Linked DNA regions of Sus scrofa. The protein of the gene in region 1 interacts with the protein of each later gene in a pairwise test. Links are inferred from orthologs where the notes say so. Each region holds a gene or a part of one and is shown in the gene's direction. Other genes may lie near its edges.

What was found.
Region 2: the proteins of FATE1 (region 1) and TMEM11 interact in binary tests that used the Homo sapiens proteins (3 or more experiments, as listed by UniProt). The two-hybrid records come from large-scale screens. The link is inferred for Sus scrofa from reciprocal best matches to the Homo sapiens genes FATE1 and TMEM11.
Region 3: the proteins of FATE1 (region 1) and TIMMDC1 interact in binary tests that used the Homo sapiens proteins (3 or more experiments, as listed by UniProt). The two-hybrid records come from large-scale screens. The link is inferred for Sus scrofa from reciprocal best matches to the Homo sapiens genes FATE1 and TIMMDC1.
Region 4: the proteins of FATE1 (region 1) and SYNGR1 interact in binary tests that used the Homo sapiens proteins (3 or more experiments, as listed by UniProt). The two-hybrid records come from large-scale screens. The link is inferred for Sus scrofa from reciprocal best matches to the Homo sapiens genes FATE1 and SYNGR1.

What each region holds. Positions count from the first base shown.
Region 1 is NC_010461.5:123,104,163-123,110,363, forward strand, and holds the start of FATE1 (fetal and adult testis-expressed transcript protein homolog), read left to right. Parts: upstream 1-1,923; 5' UTR 1,924-1,988; coding exon 1,989-2,091; intron 2,092-3,031; coding exon 3,032-3,150; intron 3,151-6,201. UniProt on the Homo sapiens protein: Involved in the regulation of endoplasmic reticulum (ER)-mitochondria coupling. Negatively regulates the ER-mitochondria distance and Ca(2+) transfer from ER to mitochondria possibly implicating it in the regulation of apoptosis.
Region 2 is NC_010454.4:61,358,686-61,364,726, reverse strand, and holds the start of TMEM11 (transmembrane protein 11, mitochondrial), read left to right. Parts: upstream 1-1,865; 5' UTR 1,866-2,136; coding exon 2,137-2,195; intron 2,196-6,041. UniProt on the Homo sapiens protein: Plays a role in mitochondrial morphogenesis.
Region 3 is NC_010455.5:140,754,523-140,760,548, reverse strand, and holds the start of TIMMDC1 (complex I assembly factor TIMMDC1, mitochondrial), read left to right. Parts: upstream 1-1,850; 5' UTR 1,851-1,982; intron 1,983-2,082; 5' UTR 2,083-2,166; coding exon 2,167-2,360; intron 2,361-5,028; coding exon 5,029-5,194; intron 5,195-6,026.
Region 4 is NC_010447.5:8,898,015-8,904,368, reverse strand, and holds the start of SYNGR1 (synaptogyrin-1), read left to right. Parts: upstream 1-2,178; 5' UTR 2,179-2,198; coding exon 2,199-2,297; intron 2,298-6,354. UniProt on the Homo sapiens protein: May play a role in regulated exocytosis. Modulates the localization of synaptophysin/SYP into synaptic-like microvesicles and may therefore play a role in synaptic-like microvesicle formation and/or maturation.

The sequences.
Region 1 (6,201 bases):
GTCATGAGATGCCAGGGTTTCTGGGTGGCACTCGGGGCCTGGAGACTGGGAAAGAAGGCTCCCCATCCTCTTTGCGTGGCTTTGAGTGATCGGGTCCTTTGCCACCAGGGGGCAGTGCTTCTGCATGCGCCTGGACCCATTGCCCCAGGGCCAGGAAGCCCCAACCGGTCAGGGCCAGTTGGCAGTCAGAGGGGATTCTGATCTGAGGTCAACAGTGCACAGTCGTGCTTGAGAACCTCACGTGTCCCACTCTGCTGACGTGACTGCTCTCAAAATCAAGCACCCTGTAGGGAAGGGATTATTAGCGTCATCATCCAATGGGGAGACGGAGCCCAAAGGAAAGACTTGCTCAAGGTCAACTCTTCAGCTCATGGGGAGGAGGGGCAGGGCCTAGGGTTGCCAGATAAAATACAGGATACCCAGTTAAACATGCATGTCAGATAAGCCCTGAATCATTTTTCAGTTATCCACATCCCAAACATTGCCCAGACCATATGCTGCAAAAAAAAAAAAAAAAAAAAAATTGTGGTTTATTTGAGATTCCAAATCAATTGGCATCCCCAGCCTGCCAGAAACCCACAGCTCCTGCATCCCAGGCTCCTAGGTCCTGCAGAGTGCACTTCTCTGTTCGTAAGGTGGCCTCCAGGAGGCTTGGATTTCATCGTAGCTGCTCTGTTGGAGCCGGGAGGCACTTCTCCAGGGCCCTCAGGAATGCAGGCAGGGCCTTTGTCCGCTCCGACCTGATCCTATCTGATCCAGAGAGCTTGCTCCCCACGCTGGACAGATGGGGCTGGGGAGGGGGTCAGGCAGCCCAGGTCTTGCCACCCTCTCTAAACGAGTCTGGCCCCTCCCTTTCCTCTCCCTGCCCTTTCCTTCCTCCCTTCCTCTCCCCCTCCCCTCTTCCTCCTTGGAGCTCGCTGGGTTTCTTTAACAAGATAGCCTCCTCTTCCCCCAGGGGCTTGGGGGCTCATCGTTGGTGGTTGCGTCAGGCAGGGGTCTCCAGAGAAATGGAGGCAATAGGATACATATATGTGTATGTGTGTGTACATATGCATGTGGGTGTGAGTGTCTGGAAAATTTTATCTTAAGAAATTTGCTCATGCCATTGTGAGGCTAGCAAGGCCAAAATATGCAGGGCAGTTCAGCGCATTGGAATCTTCAGGGTGGATGCTGCAGTCTTGAGCAGAATTAATTCTCTGGGAGACCTCTTTTCTCTTAAGGTCTTCAACTGATTGGACGAGGCCTACCCACACCATCGAGGATTAGGCCCATCTTTTACTTCAAGCCCGCTGATTGTAGGTATGGACAACAGCTACAAAAGACTTTGATAGCAACACATAGACTAGTGCTTGATGGAATAACTGGGCTCTAGGGGCTGTAGGCAGGTCCCTACTCTCTTGCCTTCCCTCCTTTGGCCCTAAGGGTTCCTGTGCAGTCTGACCCAGGGCCTCAAAAGGCCATCTGCCCTGCCTGGGAACTCTGGACTGGAGGGGAGGCAGGGCATGCTCTACAGAAGATGCCTTCTGAGGGGGGTGGATTACTGGCCAGAGACGGCCTTGCAGGAGCCATGACAGACCCGGGATGTAACTTTGCTTTGGCCAAAAACTGGCTCTGGGGTACTGACCCCCCCCCCACCTCTTTCTAGAATTGATGCAGCGTGGAGCCTGCCCGTGCCCCTGTGGGACCAAATTGGGTGGCCCAAGAACCAGGGAGGTTCTCACAGACAAATGTTCCAAGCCTTATCTCTTCCCCTAAGTTACTTACAGAGTAGCAGGGAACAAAGCCTCGAACCCAGCCAGCAAGATACAGCAGGAACAGGAGGTGCTGGGTCCAAGGCCTGAGTGCAGAGGGGGAGTCTGGCTCCACCCCCATGTCCAGATATATCCTTGAGCTCCCACCCGTCAAAGAGCTGATTTTCCCAGAGCGTCCTCCGTGCTCTGCTCTCTGTGCATCCTTGGCCACCGCTTACAAGTGAAGAGCTGGCTGTGATGGCAGGAGGCTCCACTAACACCAAGAAGATAGAAATGTCCTTGGCTGAAGAGCTGGTTCCTAAAAGCCAGGAGCCTAGCCGCGAGCAAGTGCTGATAGCAGGTGAGGAGCCCCTGAAATGGACCTTCCCTTGAGTGCCTGCACCTGTGTGTGTGTGTGTGTGTGTGTGTGTATGTGTGTGTGTGTGAGTGTGTGTGTGGGAAACTGTGCATGAGTGGCTTGGCAGATACTCATATCTGCATGTATGTTGATGCATGGATTGGGGGTACGTGTGTGGGTGGCCTTGGTTCACGTACACATATATTTCTGGCTTGAGTGACAGGGGAGTTGGAGAGAAAGGGATTGATGATATGAGGGAGGTGTCTATTGCAAAACATTCCCAAGGCTCAGTTTACAAGATCAATCAAATGATTTCTCTCTCCTAACTCTCCAATACCTTCTCCTGCCTTTTAGAGTAAAATCCAAAGTCTTTACCATGATCTACAAGATCTGATCAAGGTCACCTCCTCCATGTATTTCCTGCTGTTTCCTGCCTATGTGGCCTGCTGGCCTACTGTACATCCCAAGATTGTTTCTGCCTCACAGCCCTTGTGCTATAGCTGTTCCATATACCTTGCAGGCTTCTCTAGATTTTTCAGGGATGGACTCTTTCAGGTCTGTGTCGTAGTGTTGTTCCTGACTTTTCTAGACGTAGCCCCTTCTTTCTGTCTTGTTTTTATTGATCTGAATCTACATGGACAGAGTATTTTCTGCCACCCTCATTCTCCCTAGAAATACACGGTCAGTCTCCTGATTGCTGTCATCTTATCTCCTGGCCGTTGTCCTCTCTTTAGTCATGTAGCCCAGAGCTTTATGCTCGGTAAATACCTGCTACATCTTGAATGGATGAAGAAACTGAGACATGGGTTTGGCCAGTGGATATCAGTGAATGGGTGTTTGGTGATTCCTGAGAAGTTCTTGTCCCTTTTCCGGTGTGTCCTGTGCCCATGAAGCTTTGGTATAGCTGTATGTGTGTTCCTGGGACCTCCATTTTTCTCCCTAGAAATGTTGGAGCATGGAATCCGGTCCCTGGGTGCTTCTCAGAGCCGTCAGAAGTTGGATTCAAAGATTTCCGATTCTGCTGCAGCTTGGAATTTGGCTGCCAACAAGTCCAAGAAAACGGTACTATATGGGGACCTTGGTACATGGTTGGGTTTGAGAGTAGCAGCTATAGGGGATCTAAGTCTGAAGATGGTGAGGTCAAGCAAGGCCAGATGTTGAATTAGGGGTGAGAGAGGAAGCTCCTGTGCAGTAGGCAGGGAAATGAGGGCCACATGGTCCAACAAGAGGTCAGGACTATTTATTGTTAGGCTAGGAATTCAGTATTGAAAGTACAGAATGCTGAATTACACATTGCTTGGGGAGTACACATATACCGTATTCTGTGCAACTCTAAAGTGTGTGAAATAACACTTTCTTTTATTAATAAATAAATACATCTGTATTTATCACCACATATGTATATCTATATATCTGTATTTTCCCAATATATCTTATATTTTGTTTTTATTCCTGTATATAAATGCATTTCTATGTAGAAGTATATAAAATATAAAAATATATAAGCATATACAAATGAGATATACGTACAAATAAACATATGTACATCTGTATATCTTAGGGATGGGACAAGACTCAGGCAAGTGAGATTGCTATGCTCCATGGCCATTAGGAAATCCAGTCATTTGCATCTGAGCAGTTTGTAGCCAATTCTTTAAGCTACACTCCATATGAGTGAGGGAATGTTCTCGAAAAAATGGTGCTTCTACTGTTGCAAAGGATACTGGGAAAAGGCAGCCATTTTGGAGCAGCTCTAGGGAATGAAGTGAGTCCTTGAGTGCCATCATTTTGTAGCCAGTCCTTTCAGCTACATTCACCTCCGGTGGGGGAAAGCTTTAGAAATATGGTGGCTATATTGTTGCAAAAGTTACTTGGAAAAGGCAACCAGGTTGCAGAAGAGGACAACCGGCCTGTTGATGGGGATCATGTGAGTCTCATGCTCTGTAGCCAATCCTTTAAGCTACTTTCACTGTAGTTGAGTGAAAGTTTTAGAAACCTGATTTTTAGACTCTGGAAATGGTTACTGAGGGAAGGCAACCTGGTTGGAGAGGGAGGGAGGCTTGATGTTCTAGAAAATCACCTGAGTCCCATTGTTCTGCAGTGCATCTTAAGCCTCGTTCACCTTCTGAGGAAACGTTCTAGGAAAAATGGTGGCCATTTTAGGGAGGGGGACGCGTGACTCCTCTAGAAAAATCACTGGAGTCCTTGTTGTTTGGCTGATTCTGCCAGCTGCATTCACCTTGGATGAGGGCAATTTTTAGAAACACGACTGTTAAACTGTTGCAAATGCTATCCGGCAAAGGCGGCCCCATTGGGGAGGAAGGAGATCTGAGTCTTCTAGGGAATGGGGTATAATAAATACGGAACTGATTCCAGCCACAAATGAATAAAGATAAAAAGAAGTCCCAGGTCACAGACCTTTGGGAATGAAAAGAAGCCATAAACGTTGAATTGGCTTCAGGTGTTCAAAGGCTGAAGCCACATCAAGTGGCTCCACTAGCTCAGGCTTCAGTAAGCTACGCATGCCCTGAAACTGAGGTGGGATGGGATTGGGGAGGGGCGGTTGAGGGAATTAGTTCATCTCTGATGAATTAATATTACCTCTTCAAACCAAAGGAGTACACTTTTAACAAATTTAGTTGTTCTACTGAATTTAAAATTAAATTCAACATTTAGAATTAAGAAATGCAATTTACCAATTCTATTCTTTCATTATTTATTGTTCAGAAAAAAAGGTATAATGGAGCTGTTATTGCCTCTGACAGAATCACAACATGAACTGAAAAAAAAATCACATACTGTTCTTCCCATTTTTTGGGAAAATGTACCAGGCCTTAAAAAGTACATGAAAATTAAAATAACATTTTGAAATAATTAACAGAGGAAAGCTGGTATTTGCCATGGTTCATAGCATTCCCTAATCTCCATCAAATGTTAATAAAAATCTGATGGTTTACAATGTATATAATTCTCAGTAGATTATTTTTAAAATTCAAAGCAAAAGGACAGAAAGACAACCGTCTTTTGGACACTTAGACCTGTCAAATGATGGGTGATCATAAGTTATCATGAATTTGCAAATGTTGTTAAATTAACTCTTTTTTTTTTTTTTGGCCCTTTCTTGAGTCACTCGCACAACATATGGAGGTTCCCAGACTAGGGGTCAAATTGGAGCCATAGCCACCGGCCTACGCCAGAGGCACAACCACGCAGCATCCGAGCCGTGTTTGCAACCTACACCACAGCTCACGGCAACACCGCATCCTTCACCCACTGAGCGAGGCCAGGGATCGAACCTGCAACCTCATGGTTCCTAGTCGGATTCGTTAACCACTGTGCCACAAGGGGAACTCCCGTTAAATTAGCTCTTATATTGAAATGTTAAAAGCAAAAAATGTTATCTCAAACAAACGAACTCCAACTAAGAACAATCACTCATCCTTATGTTACCTTCAAGTCTCTGAAAAAGCTTTTTCTCCTTCTGATCTCAATCTATAGGAAAATCGAGAGGATACAGTGGAAATAGTTGTAGTTGCTTTTTTTTTTTTTTTTTTTTTTTTTTTTTTTTTGCTGCCCCACCGGATATGGAATTCTCAGGGCAGGAAAGGGTCAGGGATCAGATCCCAGCCAGAGTTGTAACCTACGCCGCAGCTGTGGCAACACCAGATCCTTTAACCCACTACAGACTGGCCATCGAATTTCCCTTTATAATCTTGGTGTCTTCTTGATATCTACTGACCTTTGAATTCCATTTTTGAGATATCTTAAGAAGAGGAAGAAAGATAAGAGGTAAACTAAGAAGAGGAGGGGAAAGAAGAAAATAAAATAGTACAGCCGCGAAGTGCAACTGTTCACACACACACCCTAAAAGGCATATTAGTATCTGTATGCACACAGCTGTTACCAGAGCAATAGCAGTGACAGCGCTGGATCCTTAACCCACAGAGCCACCAGGGAACTCCCATCGGTGTCCACTTTTGAGAGGAAGAAAAGTCACCCTATTGTAAGAAATGGAGCCTGGTGGCTTTCATGTTTTTCTTAAGAACAGAGGAGGGTTGCAGGTCCTTCTCAGGTGACAGGTGAGCCCCGGGTGTCTACTTCTTTTTAAGAAGG
Region 2 (6,041 bases), on another chromosome or scaffold:
CCGTGCCCTCTGCCGGAAAGGTGCTTCCTCTGGATCCTAGTTTAATCTTCCTTGTCATTTTGGTGTGTTTTAGCTAGACGTGTTCAGAAGCTAGAAAAAGCCAACTCGTGTGGCATTTCCCTCATCTTAAGCAGCACCAAGTCTGGAGGACGAAGGTCTAGGTCTCATGCTGTGGTGCCGTGATGTCCCGAGAGGCCCGGGCTCTTTGCATCTTTCCTCGTATCATCCTTCATGTGGTGGCTTTTGCCCTCATGCTTGTTGCCTCGTGGTCACAGAATGGCTGCTGCCCTCCAGATATCACATGCAAATTCTAGGCAGGAGGAAAGGCTGATGCCGCCTCCCTGGGCACTCTCATCCTGTCCCTCCCTCTCGTTCTGACCCTCTATCACTTCTTGGACTGTTCTTGTTTCCTGGCTGGCTGACCATTTCCTGCCACTGCAGTGAAAGCTCCACTACAGCACAACACACCCATCGAGCTCACTGCCAAACCCAGCTCCCAGCTCCTGCTCTGGCAGCAAGAATCAGGACAACAGTTTTGCTCCTTCAGCTTTAGGGGCCACAGCTGCTCCCTTCAGTCACCAGCCTGTGGGGGTCCTTACTGCCCCCCAGCTGCTCTGGCCCTCCGAACACATCCATAAACAACGCCTTGTATTAAATTCCTTTTGCTTGAAATATCTAGGATGGATTTTTCTTTTCCTAATTAGACAATGACCAAGAGAGGTAAAATCACCCCCATTTTATTAATGTACTTACTTTTCTTAGGGCTGCGCCCAGGGCTGCATATGCAAGTTCCCAGGCCAGGGGTCGAATCAGAACTGCAGCTGCCAGCCTACACCACAGCCAGGGCGACACCGGACCCCCCACCCACTGAGCGAGGCCGGGGATCAAACCCGCATCCTCATGGATACTAGTCGGATTTATTTCCATTGCGCCACAGCGGGAACTGGCTCACCCCCATTTTTCACAGTTCCTGTTCTAGAATCCCTGGAAACCCTCGGCATCAGCACACTGGTCCAGAGGAAACAGACGACTCACAAGGGTCCAGAGCCAGCACCTGGAGGTGGGCTGTGACCCAACAGGAAGAGCAGGTACTTCTCAGGGACCGAAAAGCATTTTAGCCACAGCAAGGAAGCTCTGAATTTGCGACGGAAGCTGGAGGGGAGAGCAGCCTCCAAAGAACGGAGGGGCTCCAAGGCTGCCCTGACGGGCTTGAGCGGCGTCTGGTAGGTAATGAGGGTCTGTGGAACGGCCTCAAACGTTCCGTTCTGCTGGCGAATGCGAACTGCAAGGAAATCCTGGGGACCCTTCGGTGGGGGAGCCGCATCGGGGCGCCGGCTCGCCCGGTGCGTCCAGACCTGAGGGCTGAGAGCAGGGGCCGCGCTTCTCCGTTTCTGACCCCGGAGCGGATTTCCGCACGACAGTGGCTCAAACAGTTATGGGGCCAACTAATACGTCCAGCCACGTTGTGTGGAGAGCAGTTGAGGGACTGCGACTTCAAAGGCTGCAGGGACCCCCGGACTGGCCCCGGCTCCGCGGGAACAGCGCTTAGGAGTCACCGGGCTGCGCCGCCTGCCCGTCGCGGCTGCGTCCAGGCAGGGCCCCGTCGGCGGGGTGATGGGCCAGCACTGCCTTCTCAGGGGCCGAGGGCTGGACTGCGTTTTCGTCACCGCGGCCGGACAGGAGCGGGATATGCGCGCGGAGCCCGGTCTCTCCCAGCCGCCGCCACACGTTAAGTTCGGCCCCTTCTCCTCTTCCAGACCCTCCCCGCCGACGGCTTGCCAGCAAGGACTCGGTGGCGGCGGGAGCCGCTTGTGCCTAGCCTCCCGAGGATGTGGGGGACGAGCGGGAGCGGCCCCTCGGTGACCTCGAGCGGCAGGCCCTCCGGAAGGGCCCGGGGCGCCGAGGAGTCGAGCCCGGAAGTGGGCTTTCCGCGCCGCTGGGCTGGCCTGCGTTTCCCGGGCGGCTTCGGGGCAGGCCTTGCCTGCGCGCGGTGCATTGTGGACCTTGTGGTCCCGCGGGGCCCGGCCCCAGCCGGGGGCTCTGTCTGGGGCGGCGGCCGGACTACATCTCCCTCCCGCCCGTGCGCTGTCGCGAGGCCGCCCGGCGCGAGGCTTTCGCGAGCGGAGAGTCTCCAAGATGGCCGCGTGGGGAAGGAGGCGTCTCGGCCCGGGCGGCGGCGGCCCCGCGCGAGAGAGGTGAGACGGGCGCTGTTCCCTTCCCTGCGGGCGGCGCGGGGCGGGAAGCCGGCGACGCCCTTGGGGTTGCAGCACTGCCCCTGCCTCCGACGCGCGGCTCTCCCCGGTGCATCCGCCGGCCGCGCGGGGTCCCGGTTCCGGCCTCCGCGGCCTCCGCGGCGGGCCCGGGGAGGGGCGACGGCAGCCCGGGCACCGTCGGGCCGCCGCGGGGCCCGCCTGAATGCCGCGGGCCGAGCGGCACCAGAGCCCGCCCGCCTGGTCGCGCGGGGAGTTCTTTCGGCCGCGGCGAGGGGTGGCTCCCGGGACGGAGCGGGAAGGGGAAGCCTTCCCATCGCGGGTCGGTGCGGGAAGCGCGGTGCGGTCCGCACGTTTACCGGGGCCTCCGCCTTCCGCTCTGTGGCCTCCGGGCTCCAAGCCGGCCGCTTTTCTCCGGGGGTGATTCCTGGGACTTTGGAGGCTTCTCTGCGAGCGCCCCTGCCGTGGAAGTCCTTTGCAGTGACCTTTCCTAACGAAGGGTGTGTTACGAGTAGGGAGCTAGGGGCTTGTTTCTTTCAAGGTGGATTTTGATTTAGAGGACTCATTTCTAGAAGACGAGGTGGGAGTAGTTGTCGTGTTTCGTGTCGAGTTCACAGTTTTTGCTCCTAGAAAACAGTTTAGCTAGTGGAAGCCACTAGAAGCTGTTCACCCACCAGAAATTTGGGAAAGAGTGCTTGTTGGGGGAGTCACCTGGTGTGAATTGCCCTGACCATTCGCTTAGGACCGGAGTGGCCTAGTAGAGGTCAGCAAGACCTTCGCTTTTCTTTTTCGTTTCTTTTCTGTGAAGATTGGAATACAGCGAAGTTCTTTCTTTTTCTCCCTTTCCTTCTCTGTTCTGACGCTTAACTATTCTGCGTTGTTCCTTTTCTTTGACTGATTCCGTCACATGTTTGTTGCTCTTGCCTTGTTTTGTTAGTTGTGTTCACTTGCATTTTATGCTTGAGCTCAGCGTCACCCAACGTTGTCCATTCTTCAGCTCCTCTGCCTTGGAAAAGAAGCAGTGAATGAATGGCAAGCACGTAGGTATCTTTGTTTTCCCAGCGTCCACCTGGTATGTTTCTTAGACCCAGCTCTAAAAAGTTAAGAGGTGGAGTTCCCGTCGTGGCGCAGTGGTTGACGAATCCTACTAGGAACCGTGAGGTTGCGGGTTCTGTCCCTGCCCTTGCTCAGTGGGTAAACGATCCAGCGTTGCCATGAGCTGTGGTGTAGGTTGCAGACTCAGCTCGGATCCCGCGTTGCTGTGGCTCTGGCGTAGGCCGGTGGCTACAGCTCCGATTCGACCCCTCGCCTGGGAACCTCCATATGCCTCGGGAGCGGCCCAAAGAAATGGCAAAAAGACAGAATAAATAAATAAATAAATAAATAAAAATAAAAAGTTAAGAGGTGAGCTCAGTGGTTTCCACATGGCCTTAAAATCTTGCCAACGTGTTCAAGATCGGTGTTGCAGACATTCGTCCTTTAGGAATAAGAAATAACCCGTTTAGAAAACTCGGTGTCACAGAGCGAGAGAGCGCGCCTCCTTCCTGGAGGCAGACGGAAGGGGCCGGCTGGGCCTGCCCCGGACGTCACCCAGGGCTGTGCTAGCAGCAGTTAGGCTTCTACTCATCCAATAGATTTGATGTTGGGTTTTTTTTTTTTCTCTTTGGTTTGAGACAGGAGTTAATTCAAAACGAAGTTTGCAAACCAGGATTCCCACCGGGCTGAATCCAGTCCTCCCTCGACTGTGACTCTCGGTTTCTAAGAGGATTGAAATGAGTTGCCAAAGCCTGGCGATGGAAAGATTTCACGAGAAACTCCTTGGAAAGCTGCATGGTGGCTCTTTTTGGTCAGGCCAGGTGCTCATCACTCCTCACCTGACAGCCGACTCAGTGCCCTTACCTGCCTGGTCGTGCTGGGTGTTCAGGTTGCAACCTTTGGCCTGGAACAGAAGGCCCTGCTTACACGTCCAGACGTCTCTGTCAGCTGGGAATGGCGCATCTGGTTTTGTGGTTTGGGTGGTACCATCTCTTCTCCTTACAGATAAGGAGTGCGGCGGGGAGCCCCTCTCTTGGCCTGTGCCGTGGGGCCTAGCAGGGCTTTGGTGGAGGAGTGTTGGCCTGGTCCTGGTGTCCCTGGGATCCTCCCATGCTGAGCAGGGAATGGAAACCCAACCCGCCAGCCCTCGGTCAGCTCGCTAACTTCTGGGCGCACCTCCACCCATGCCCCGGGGGTGGGGAGACTCTGGGCAGGCTGGTTGGATTAATTGATTGCCCACACCCTAGATGGAAGCTCAAGCATGTTATTGGCTCTTGGGACTGAAGTAGGCTGTTCAGGGCTCTCTTAAATGACTTTGTTCCATGTCACACCTGTGCCGGCTCAGATTACAGCTCACGCTGTGAGACCACTTTCCCGAATTGCTGCACGCACTTGGTTGGAGTCTGCTTTATGATGAAAGCGTGGGAAACACTGCCTGGTTTGGGGCAGGGGCTGGAGCAGAGCAGCGCTTTGGGCAGACTTTGCAGATTTGCCGGTGGCTGCAAACATGGAAGCACGCTTGGATTTAAAGCAGCTCCTGCCAGACTGTCCCCAAGAGTTATGTTGTCAGCTGTGTGTTAGCGATGATCCAGTTTAGAAAGTACACAGTGTGCGGATTCTTCACCTGGTTCTTGAGTTTCGAGCTGTGTTAATTCAGTGGTCGCTAGTCCCTTGTGACAGTTAAATTTTTCTTTTTGCTTTTTAGGGCCGCACCAATGGCATATGGAAGTTCCCAGCCTAGGGGTCGAATTGGAGCTGTAGCTGCTGGCCTGCACCACAGCCTCAGCAATGCAGGGTCTGCGACCTATGCCACAGCTCACTGCTGCGCCAGATCCTTAACTCACCGAGCCGACCAGAGATGGAACCTGTGTCCTTATGGATGCCAGTCAGATTCGTCTCCTCTCAGCCTGGAGGGAACTCCCATAACCTGAATTCTTGTCCACAGTAGGGCACGGACAGTGAGCACGCCAGACAGATGGCCACAGGTCCTGTCAGTGTCTTTAACACACTGGCCCGTCTAGGAGGGCAGGCATCTGAGTGTTGTGCCGCTGGGCGCCTTCCTAGACGGGCCATCTCACAGACCTGCCAGCTGTCCCGCTGTCTGCCTGCCCTCAGGGCCCCGAGGTCCTGTGTTCCCCGCCGTTGTGGGTGTGAGTTCAGCGTGTGGACACACTTGATCTGCGTCTGGTCTCTGTGGGAGGGGCAGCGCGGCTTGGAGGCCTGGTGTGTTCGCAGGGCTGGGCGTGCTGGACTAGAGGCGCGGGTCTTAGGGTCAGACCCCTTCTGTGGCCTCCCCTCCTCTGGCTTCTGCAGGCGTCTGTGCCCGCGTTTTCAGGCAGCCAGCTCTGCCGGGTCACGTCCACATCTCTCTGTCCTGCGCCTTATTCCCTGGGACTTGCCCCTCTTCGACAGCTTTGCTTGCTTTCTTTTCTTTTCTTTTTTCTTTTCTTCTTTTTTTGGCCACCCCGTGGCACGTGGAGTTCCTGGGCCAGGGATCAGATCCAAGTAGCAGACTAGCCCTAAGCCACAGCTGCGGCAATGCCAGATCCTTAACCCACAGTGCCGGGCTGGGAATCGAACCTGTGTCCCAGTGCTCCCAAGGCACCGCTGGTCCCGTTGCACCAGAGCGGGCACTCCGAAAGCTTTACTTTTAATGGGCAACTTGGATGGATGTCCTGGATGCCGGTGGAGGGATCAGTTCCCAGGACAGCTGAACGAGCCAGCCAGAGGCCCCGTGGGCAGGAGGCTCACGTTCCCTCGCTCTGATTGGGTCCTTTCTTTTAGAGCTGAGGCTCT
Region 3 (6,026 bases), on another chromosome or scaffold:
ACTCCCATCCTCCAATTCAAAGTCCTTCTCATCCCAGAATGATTCTGATGTCATCTCAAGCATTTAGATTTTCCACATGAAGACTAGAGAGCCTGCACAGCCATTTCCTTGGGCTTTCAGACCTAAAGATTTTAGTCTGGTGCCTACCTCTGCCTATATGGGATAAACGGCAACCTGGAGTCAGAGCCAGGAGTCAGGGGATCTGAATTTTTCATTCGACAACCTATGTGCCAGTCATGGTAGGTACTGGAGACACAGATGAATAAACATAGTCTCTTGACCTCAAAGTTAGTCTATTGAGACACATAGCAAAGAGGAAATCATGATGCAATGTAGTAAGTGCTCTGATGGGAACTGAATCTAATCCTCTCTCCCAGACACTAGAGAGCTCTTCCTGGCACTGTGATTAGACTAACTCAGCTAGTCACTCTATCAGTCACTTCTCTGGACCATATCTAGAGACTTCCAGCTATCAAATTCTGGAATTCTCTTTACTGTATCCTACTAAAGATTGTAATTATTTTGAATTATTCCTAGAAAGGAATAAATGATGGGTAGGAATTGGCGAAGACAATGTGTATGATTCCTAGCAAAGATCAGATGAAATTACACAAATCAGGAGTTCCCTTCATGTCTCAGGGGTTAACGGACCCAATTAGGATCCATGAGGATGTGGTTCTACCCCTGGCCTGGCTCAGTGTTGGTGATCCTGCATTGCCCTGCCTTGTAGTGTAGGTCGAAGACCTGGCTCGGATCCTTCGTTGCAGTGGCTGTGGCTTAAGCCAGCAGCTGTAGCTTGGATTTGACCCCTAGTCTGGGAACTAACATATGCTGCAGATGCAGCCCTAAAAAAAGGCAAAAAAAAAAAAAAAAAAAGAAACACAAATCAGTTTAAAAATACTTAACATGCGAGCTGTCTTGTTTTTGTTGTTGTTTTTGGCCGAGGTGGCATATGGGGTTCCAGGGCTGGGGATCAGATCCGAGTACCTAAACCATAGCTAAGGAACCAGGCAGGGATAGAACCAGGCTCCCAAGTGCTGCCAAGACACCGCGGATCCTGTTGTGCCACAGTGGGAATTCCTTCATAAGCGTGCATTTTAATAAAATTATACTTTGAAGCATATGATAGCAGAGGCTGTAGTGACAGGAAATTATTGCTGGACTACCAAGCAAACATCTGAGAGAAAGTGTCCTGCCTTTTAAGAAAGAGTAGTTATATGAACCAAGGTGAATAAAACCCATCTTGTGAAGCCCTGAACCGATTCTTCTACATAAAAATGTTCTGGAAATCTGGGTGTAACTGGCAACAAGACCCCTCTTAAAAGCCTCCTAACTTTCTGAAATCGAGAATAGACCTCGCCCAACCTCAGAGGTTTCCCGAGCTATGACAGGGTGGGTTGGGCTTGTAGTTCTGCAAACTGCCTTCCCCTTTCTGTACCCCATTTGTGTTGAACACTGCACTTTCTTCATCTACATTCCTGCTTTTTAAAATAAGCTAACTTCAAACTATTGCATTTGGAGTAGATAAGCAATGAGATCCTGCTATATAGCACAGGGAACTGTATCGAGTCACTTGTGATGGAACATCATAGAGGATAATGTGAGAAAAAGCCTATGTATGACTGGGTAATTATGCTTTACACTAGAAATTGTCAGAACACTGTAAATCAACTATAATGGAAAAATAAAAATTACATAAAAAATAAAATACGCTAACCTACTTCAGCTAATGACCCGGTCTGGTTGCCTGGAAACTGCCCCACACAGTTTCACTGGCGCAGGAGGCGGGGGCCAGACGGTGCAGAGAGCTGTTACACGCCGCCAGCTCACTTCCGGCGAGTCAGCTTGCCACCTCTAAGATCCGTCCCACCTCAAACCGGAAGTGCTTCCGGCTCCGGCTCCGCCCTCGCCCAGCCCAGTAGCCTTTGCCCTGGTTGGGGCGGGACTTCCTGTCTCGTGTGTCCAAGGGCTTCCAAAGTGAGGTTAGTCTGGGAGTGCAGGTCTGTCACGGTGTGTGGCTACCGCTACGGCCGCGAATTTGCTAGAGCGTAGTGTACCAGTATTCGTCACTTATTCTTGCAGTTATCTTCGCTCTTCTCCCACGGCGCCTCCCGGAGACCTTGGGGCCCTGAGCGCCCAAGCTGTCCGGCAGGTTCTGAGGAGACCATGGAGGTGCGGCCGCCGGCTCCACGGAGCTTGCTCTGCAGGGCGCTGAATCCTTTCCCTCGGGTCTTTGCTGCTGGAGCTGTGGCCACCGATTCCAAGGGTCTTGCGGAGGACCTTAAGCTGCCTTCCTGCGTCCCGGAAGCCCGATACCCGGAATCCGGATGGGACCGACTCCGGGAGCTGTTTGTCAAAGAGTAAAAGTGCCTACGGTCTGTGGGGAGGGGCTACGAAGGAGGTGACCTGAAACCTGGGTCATCCGGGATGAAGGACCCCAGGGTGGTGTGATTTATTTTTAAACGGAATTTTGGGTTCTAGTGCTTGTACTCCAAGCTTGTATCCTAACATAGCGGCTAGGTGGTTCTTATGATTGACAGGCCGGTTTTCAGGTGGTAAAGGTGAGCCTCATTGAATGTCAGAGCTTTTAGGGATATTTAGGGAGTAGAGTCTTAGTGTAATTACCTCGATTTTACAGATTAGAAGAATTGGGCCAAGGTACTTGGTGACGCGAGAACCCACATCTGCAGGACTGCAATATTCCTTTTCTTATATAACTTGATCCCAAATTTTGATAGTTTATGACCAATAGCCCTCCTCCCCGGCGCAAAAATGGAAGTTCAGAGATAGCAGAAAGAGTTGTAAAATTTTTATTCTGCTAAATAAGGAATATATAAAAAATAGTAGCAACTATTGTCTCATCATTTTATAAAGAAATTAGCTGGATTCACAAATAAGGATGTTTCAGAATAAAAGAAATAACCCTTTAAATTGAATTAACTTTAATGGAAAACTCACGATAATTAATTTCATCATTGTTTCGTTCATCAATTACTGGTAAAAAGTTTGCCCTTTTATGAAGTACTTTACTATATACTATACTGTGTTATCAACATTGGTTAAATTAACGTCGAAGCTTTATTATGTTGCTGAGATAGTTCAGGCAGGGGAGCTGGTGGAATTGTATTAATTACTTTATTTAGGTTTCATCATCTTTGTTTTAAAGATAAGCCGCCCTTCTTATTGGTCCTTCCAAAATTTATTTGAGATATTTGTGAAGGAGCCTATATAGTATATAACAGAAAAGGGTTATTTTGATCAGCTTTATAAAACCACAGAATGTTGGAGCTGAAAGAAATGTGAAAGATAATTTAGTTTAACTTTCATTCTCCCCACTAAGTCATGCATAAGGAAACCAATGTTCAGAGTGATTGTGATCTGGCCACAAGTCTCTTAGCAGTGGATGACACGAACCAGAACCACAATCCCATTGGTCCTTTTCATCACTGTGCCCCGTTTCTTCACCATTCATTTAGCTGTTAGGATTAATCATGTAATTTCTTACAGCCTCAATTGATAAAATGGAAAAAAGTATCACCTATGTCATAGAATTTTTCAAAGGATGGAAAAGAGAAAAGCATATGCATTTCCCAACTTGTTAAATCTAAAGCTCTTTTATATTTTCTCCTTTCTGGGTTCTACCAGTTTTTAATGTAAATGATGTTTTTTATCTTATTCGTTATAAAAGTTAAAATATAAAGTTCAGGAGTTTGTCTTGTGTCTCAGTGGTTAACAAATTTGACTAGCATCCATGAGGACATAGGTTCAATCCCTGACCTTGCTCAGTGGGTTAAGCATCTAGTGTTGCTGTGAGCTGTGGTGTAGGTCACAGACGTGGCTCAGATGTGGCGTGGCTGTGGCTGTGGCTGTGGCTGGCAGCTGTAGCTCTGACTTGACCCCTAGCCCGGGAACCTCCATATGTGGCAGGTGTGGCCCTAAAAAGCAAATAAATAAATAAATATAAAAGTAAAAAAAATATATATATAAAGTTCATATTATAGCAGTTTTTCTTATTGATGTAAGAATTAGTTTCCTAACATTTTATTTAGTGATCCCTTTTATGTATGCAAGAACTATAAAAACTCACTGATTACATGATTTCAGAAATGTTGTTAACTGGCTGTTAGAATTAGATAAACACTTGTACAGCCTCTGAAGAAAGCAAGTTAGTAATGTAAAAAATTACCATTTAGTGGTTTACTTACATGTGAAGGCCATTATTTATAGGAAATTAACACTTAAAAAATTAGCTATTTGTTAGCGCAATTTCCAGAGGGTATAGTGGAAGCTCCAGTATGGGTTCTAGTTCCTTAATGGATTGAATGAAGTGGTAGCTTTTCCATGTTATTTTATGTTGGTTTGCGCTGCCCACTGCATAGTGAGATTTCTCATTCGATGCTTTTTAATAGTACAAGCCCATCTGAGTATTACATAAAAATTATTCAGAAAGATAAAGTTTTGACTCTTTTTTTTTACATCTAGGAATTCATTCTTACATACATTGTCCTAAAACCTCGTTAGTTTGTGTAATTGCCAAAGGTATCTAAAAATTCAAAAAAGGAAATGTGTTTTCCTTCATTCAGTTCACAGATTCTTTCTGTTTCCAGGGATATAGTAGAGTTCTAACAGTCGTCAAAATCACCTTAAAGAAAAAATTGTATTGCAGTATAATGTGAACCTATAAAAATGCACAAGTATATTTACATAAGTATACCCACCTATGACTTTTCACAAACTAAACATAGCTGTGTATCCAGCTGCAAGAGACTTAATTACATCCAGGAGCTCCCCCTTGTGTCCCTTTCTTGTCACTGCCTTCTCAAGAATATCCGCTAACTTAATTTCTAAAAGCATGTATTAGTTTGGATTGAGATTTGAGCCACTGTAATATAATTATTTAATTCATCAAAGGATTTAACTGGTTCTGCCCATCATGAAAAATGTGGTCCTGTTAGCACTTGGGATAATTCTGATCATACTGTTTTTTGGAGAGCAGTATCCATAAACATTATCTTTTTGATGTTTTAGTGAACAGCAGAGAACTTCAAAAGAACTTCAGGATATATACAAGGCAGCAATTTCAGCAGGCATCATTGGCTGGGCATATGGGGGGATACCAGCTTTTATTCATGCTAAACAGCACTACATTGAGCAGAGCCAAGCAGAAGTGTACCATAACCAGTTTGATGCTGTGGTATGTACCAGTGTTCTAATAGTATTTGAGGGCACACCAATTTAGCTTTTCACTTAAACTTAATCATCTAGTGTGGTGGTAAGGTTGGGAGAGTTTAAGAAACAAAGTCCATACTTAACAATGGAAGTACTAATGCTGAAATCTATACACAAACTTTGTCAAACCACCTTTTGTTTGTTTGTTTGTTTTTGTTTTTAAGGCTGCACCTGAGGCATATGGAGTTTCCCAGTCTAGGGGTCCAGTTGGAGCTATAGCTGCTGGCCTGCACCACAGCCACAGCAACATCAGATCCAAGCTGTGTCTGCGACCTACACCACAGCTTACAGCAATGCTGGATCCTTAACCTAATGAGCGAGGCCAGGGACCAAACCTGCAACTTCATGGTTCCTAGTCAGATTCGTTTCCACTGTGCCATGATGGAAACTCCTCAAACCACTTTTTTTACCTTCAGAATGGATAACTACCATATCTCTGCTTTCTGAAATGTATTTCTAATCCCCTGCTAAATCATCAAGGCTTACCTATAGCATATTAATTACCCTATTCACAAAGCTTCCATGCACTATACTGGCTCACACTAAAACAGTAATTAATGTTTAGAGTGTTACAGTTTTTAGAGTACTAACTTATGTGTTATATCCTAGATCTATACATCAGTTCTGTTTTATTAGTGAGGAAGTTACAGCTCAGAATTTTTTTTTTTTTTTTTTTTTTAGGGCCACACCTGTAGCATATGAAGTTCCCAGGCTAGAGGTCAAATCGGAGCTACAGCTATTTCCCTATGCCACAGCTACAGACAGCAATGCAGGATCCGAGCCACATCTGTTACCTA
Region 4 (6,354 bases), on another chromosome or scaffold:
GCTCGGGAGGTTAAGGATCTGGTGTTGCCAGGAGCTTTGGTGTGCCAGACACAGCTTGGCTCCTGAGTTGCCGTGGCCTAGGCTGGCAGCTACAGCTCCAATTCAATCCTGGCAGCTTCCACATGCTGTGAGTTCGGCCCTAACCCACAAACCACCCACCACCCCCAAAAAATTAGATATAGGCATTCCCCTGTGGCACAGCAGATTAAGGATTGGACATTGTTCCTGCAGCGGGTTGGGTCACTGCTGTAGCTCAGGTTTAGTCCCTGGCCCCGGGAACTTCCACATGTGTGGGTGTACAATCACTAGGAAAATAACTTAGCAAGTTTTCATGGGCCAAAAAAAGTAGATATAACTTCAATACAATGAAAGTCACTCTTTTTCTGGACATTGTTGCAGGTATTAGCAAATCTACATTGTCACTGTGTAACCATCACCACAAACAAGATAAAGAATTATTCCATCATACCCCCCAAATTTTCCCATGCTTCTTTTTTTTTTTTTTTTCTTTGTCTTTTAGGACCACACCTGTGGGTCAAATGGGAGCTGCAGCTGCCAGCCTATGCCACAGCTCCCGGGAACATCGGATGCTTAACCCACTGAGCGATGCCAGGGATCGAACCTGCCACTTCATGGTTCCTAGTCAGGCTCAGGAACCCTGATGTTGCACATCTTTTCATGTACTTAGTTCCCACCTGTATATCTTCTTTGGCGAAGTGTGCTTGTTCAAATCTTTTGCCCATTAAAAAAAAAAAATGTGGGAGTTCCCTTCGTGGCGCAGTTGTTAACGAATCCGACTAGGAATCATGAGGTTGCGGGTTCGATGTCTGGCCTTGCTCAATGGGTTAAGGTTCCATTGTTGCCATGAGCTCTGGTGTAGGTCGCAGACCCAGCTGGGATCCTGCGTTGCTGTGGCTGTGGCGTATGGTAGGTTCCCTATTGGGAACCTCCAATATGCCTCAGGTGCAGCCCTGAAAAAAAAATTTAAAAAAAAAAAGGGGTGTCCTCACACCCACTCATTAAGGACCTGGTGATCTAGTGTCCTGTCATGATGACAGAATGCCGGATGCTCTGTCATCACCAGGGCTGCAAAGGCCTCTAGAGATACCGTTGTTCAACCCTCCTGGAACCAGTGGAGACACAGAGAGAGGCCCCGAGAACTCCAGGTCATCGTAAGAGCCAGACCTGGAAGGTGTTAGTCCCACTGTGGCGAACACTCCTCCAGCCAGCCTCAGTTTCCACAAAACCTGGAGCTCTTAGGCCAAGCTTTGAGGGGGTGATGGGGGTGATGGGGACGAGGATTTGTTATTGAGCACCTGCTGCGTGCCCGGCCCTCGGCTACTGCAGTGAACAAGGTAGATAACATCCAAAGACTAGCAGACAAAGATAATGAACAAATAATGCCATAATTACTGGATTAAGGAAAAGGGTGTTGTGCTGGGGGTTGGGGGAGGGGAGGGGAGGGGAGGGGGAGGGAATGGCGGTGGGAGGGGACGGGGATGGGGGTGGTCTCTTGAAGAATTTATTGCCCTTCCTCGGCCTCAGCCTCTCCCAGGTGTCTCGGGCCCTGCGGGCTGGAGGTGGGGGTGAGCAGATGCGGGGACCACATGACGTCAGTGTGAAAGCCAGGTGGAAAGGTCCTGGGGGCGGGGGGAGCTGCGCTTTAGAAGGCTCTGAGAAGAGGGTTATTCCTTCGTGGTTCATTCATTCCAGAAATCTTCCTGCGGCCTCTGCTGTGTGCCAAGCACCCCGTGAGGAGGATGATAAACTCGCCCCCCCCACCCCGCTCCCTATAATTGGGGACAGACAGAGCAACAGGAAACAAGGCACGGGTAGACTGGCCGCCCCCGGACCGTGGACACGTCCTGCATTGGCTGCACATAGCCCTCTGCACACACCTCGGCCCCCCTCGCCCCCGCCGCCCCCACTTAGCAAAGAGGTCACCGCGCAAGAAACAAGAGCGCCCTGGACCGGGTCCGCAGCAACCGCGCCCCCGCGATCGAGGGCGCGCGCGGCCCCCGCCCCTCCCCCCGTCCGCGCCGCGCCGCGCCGGCCACGCGCCCTCCGCGCACGACGCCCCCTCGTGGAGCCCTCGGCCGCGCCAGTCGCCCAGCAGGGGACGCGGTGGGGGGGGGCCGCGCACGCGCACCGGTCGGCGGCGCGCGCCGAGCGGGGGGCACCGCGCGGGTGCAGCCACGATGGAAGGGGGTGCTTACGGAGCGGGCAAAGCCGGGGGCGCCTTCGACCCCTACACCCTGGTCCGGCAGCCGCACACCATCCTGCGCGTCGTGTCCTGGGTAAGGACGGCTGGGCGGCCCGGCCAGGCCGGGGGTGGGGCGGGGTGCGGGCGCTGGGAAGGGCGGCGCGCCCGGACAGACCCCGACCCCACCGACTGCGGGACAGGGGCGCGGCCGCGGGCAGGGAGCCGTCGCGCCGGGGTACTGGCGCCCACTCCTATCTCCTTTCCGGGCCCGCGCGGGGGTCCAGGCACTCGCCGGGGGTGCCCGCTCCTGCTCCCCGAGCCCTGTCTTCCCTGTGTCCCCCCATCGTGCGCGCCCCCCAGCGCCGTGACCTCCAGGCCGCGACCAGGCACCTCGCGGCTCTGGTTGCTCTGGTAGCGCGCGGCCGCCCGGGCGGACCGGCGACAGTGGGGACGAAACCCTGGTCTCGGGTGGCATTTTTCGGGGGGTGGATCAGGGCGTGATCGTCTCTCGGGGGGTACACGCGTGCTTGCCAGGGGCGTTCAGGGAGGAGAGGGCAGGAAACCGGGTTTTCGTGGCTTAGCCAGGACCGTGTGGGGCGATGCGGCGGCAGCTGGATACCTGGCTTCTGCCCGGGAACTGCCTCTCCGCAGCGTGACCTTGGGCTGGAAACCACCCGAGAAATGTTCACGGGAAACGAGGAGTTAAATTGCGAGGTGGGCAGCGCGTCATCTCCTTTCGCTTGCCTCAGTTTCCCGAGCTGTAGAGCGGTGGGAGGAGCCTCCTTGGGACCTCCTTGGGCTCTGCTATTTTGGGAATCCGTGTCAAAATCTAGATGCCAGAGGAGGGAGGGGCCCAGGAGAAGGGTCCCCTGCCCACAGTGCGGAGCTGAGGGGTCGGTTCAGGCAGAATTGCCCCCAACCCCCCCAGTACTGAGTAGGATCCCTGTTCAAACCTGGGGTTGGGAGAGGAGGCGCGAGCAGTCAGCACAGGGGGTGAGGGGTTTCACAGGGCCTGGGCTGCACCCCAGGGGAAGGAGGCTGGCTGCTGCCTGGGGAGGGGTACCTGGGGCTCCCTAGGCTGGCTGGCCATTGCCCAGACACCCTCAATAGAGGGTCTTGCCCCTACAGGCCTGGGTCCTGGATAAGGGACACTGGGCAGGGGTACCATCGGCCACCCCAGGAGGCTATGCGTGAAGCCAGCTGTGTTTGGTGGGGTGCTGAAGCTCCCTCACTTCCTGGGTTTCCAGGCCCGTATTAGGGTGTGATGGGTGGGACAGCTTGGATGTTTATCTCCCACCTCCCCGAGGAAGAGGGGAGCTACCTTCCCTTTATGTGCCACAGGGAGTGTGGCCCCATTGAAATCCTTTCCTCCAAGTGCCCACCAGGTAGGGAGCCCTTCGAGGGCTTCAGGGAAGCCCTGTTCTTTAGTCTTTGGGTCCCCAGGGCTGGCACAGGGCCTGGCACCTTGGGTACATCCGGGAGGGTTTGTAGCGCTCAATTCATTCATCTTTGGTGTCTCTAGCTCCCCAGAGACCCTGGCAGGTTCTTGGCAAAGGTAGAGCTACCTGCCTGGTCAGGTGGGCTGGCTCTGTGCTCTGCTCCCCTTTGCCGGCCCCTGGGCCACTGGCCCCGGAGGGTGAAGTCACTGGCTTTGCGAGGAGGTGTGGGCGTTCCGTCTGCCCGGGTCACTTCTTCCTCTGATGGCTTCATTTAGCAAAGCTTTATTGAGTTGGCTAGGCCTGCAGGGAAGGCAGTATGACTCAGACGCAGCCCAGCCCTCGGAGCTCAGGGAGCCTATGGTCCCGCTGGGAAGGGAGCCAGGTACCCCCAGGCAGAGGCCGCAAGAGCCAGGAGAGGAATCAGAAGCTTCCTGGAGAAGGTGATGTCACATTGGGCCTGGAAGGACAGGGACATATACACACATCAAGGTGCGGGAGGACGTTCCAGGCGGCAAAGTAACTGAGCCCTGCTGTCACCATTACTCAGCTGGTTCCCCCAGCAGCTTGTGTCACCCTCGAGGAACCTGAGGCTAAGAGGTGCCCAAGGTGACGGAGCGTGGAAGGGGCCAATGGAGGGTTTGAGCCCACATCCCTCTCTCCGAAGCACAGCGCTTTCCCCGGGTCAGAAGGAGTGTGGCATCCTGGGATTTCAGGATTGGAAAGGATAAGGGTTTTTGGGGTCCACCCCCATCCAATGCCCAAGTCCCCCCCACAGCCCCCCAACAGTCTCCCAGTCCTGCTCGTTACCTTTGGGTGAGCAGAGGCACCCGATACAGGCTGATGGGCGCTCTAAAAAAAAGGTAGGTTTTCTTCTGATCGTAGAAGTAATATCTGCTGATGACTGGAAAAACCTAAATCACCTGTGATGGTTGTACACCAATACGTTTGTCCTTAACGCCCCTGAACCGCACTTAAAAATGGTGAAGATGGTAAATTTTATGTTGTGTGTCTTACCGCAAAAAAAAAAAAAAAAAAAAAAAAAAAAGCACATGTGATCCCACCACTTAGGGAGGGGCTACTCCCTCCTTCCAGTGTTTTTCAAAAACAAGTGGCGCTGAGACCTTTTAAGACGTTGGGGACACACAGCAGAGGCACGTAAAGACCTGCGGTTCGCCCTCCTGCTCCCTGCACCCACCGCGGGGTCTGGCAGGCCTTAAGCTTCACCTTCCAGCTAATAGAGCCTGCGCATCATCGAGTCCCAGTTCACCCTGGTTTGCCAGAACTTTCCCAGCTTCAGCACTGAAAGTCCCATGTCCTGGAAGTCGTCCCCCTGTCCCGGACAGACAGGCTGCTGCTTCCTCTCCAGGACGCCTCCTGTGCTACCCAGACCCCTTCCGAAGCGCTGGAGGGGCCCTAGCAATGTGTGCACATGGGCTCGTGGTCTTGTACCATTTGCAGAAGAAAGAGCTTTTTCTGTTATGTCTGTTATTTTTTTGGGAATTGGCCCCCCAGACCACGTTAGCTTCAAGGACTCACCAAGCCTGGACCCACCCTGGAACCTGAGCCCCCCCCGAACCACCAGACCTGGCAGGACCCCCTTGTTTCTTGCCTGAGGCTTTCTTAGCTCCTCTCTGCCCCAGTGCATCCAGTGCACACTGTGTGCCCCCCCTTCCCCCCAGTTCACCTGGGAGGGTGAAGAAGTGAGGAAGGAGGAATTAGCCCCTGGGTTAAGGTGGGGAGGGAGCTGGCGAGCCCTCTGGCAGATTCCAGCTTGGACCCTTCCTGCCCTGGGCGAGGAGATGGCTGAGTTGGGTCAGTGTCCAGGGCAAGCTCAGAGCTGCTTCCTCTGACCGGGGCTTGGCGGGCAGGTGGGCTCTGCTGGCTGGGCACCAGGAGATCTGCCGCAGCTCCCAGCTTCCCCAGGCACCAGCCGTGGCTACCCCCCCGCCCCCGTGCCTCTCCATGGAATGGAAAAGCTGGGCGGGGTCAAAAGGGCCCAATCCTGCCACCTGTCAGTGACCCCTTTCTCTGGAGCCAGGGGGGAAATGGAGTTTCAGCAGGGAGCTCACTGATTTCATCCAAAGGACCACCTGCTATGTGGAATTTATATCCTTGCTTTGGAATGTTGAAATCACCTATGGGAAAAGAATATTGGGGCTGGTAGATGAGGTGATTTTTTAAAAAAATTAATTCTCTGTGGAGTTCCCATTGTGGCTCAGCAGGTTAAGGACCAAACATTGTCTTTGTTTGGATGTGGGTTCAATCCTTGGCCTCAGACAGTGGGTTAAGGGACCAGTGTTGCCACAAGCTGCGGCATAGGTTGCAGATGCAGCTCGGATCTGGTGTTGCCATGACTGTGGTATAGGTCGCAGATGCGGCTGGGATCTGGTGTTGCTGTGGCTATGGTGTGGGCCACATCCGCAGCTCCGATTTGACCCCTAGCCTGGGAACTTCCATATGGGATTGAGCTCTTAAGGGCTTTGGCTATAACACTTAGGGTGCTGTAAGTAGGGTGGGTGTCATTCCCCTGATGACAGAAACAAGGGGCAGGCTGGAGATGACTTGTCTGCTGGGCTCTGCACTGCCAGAGCCACTGTTTCAACTCGGTCCGCTGGGCCCACATTCAGTGTACTCCCTAGGGCTTGCCTGTCTGAGTCACAATGGCGCCAAGGGGTGGCTTGAGGAAACAGTTTTACACCTTTTTTTTTTTTT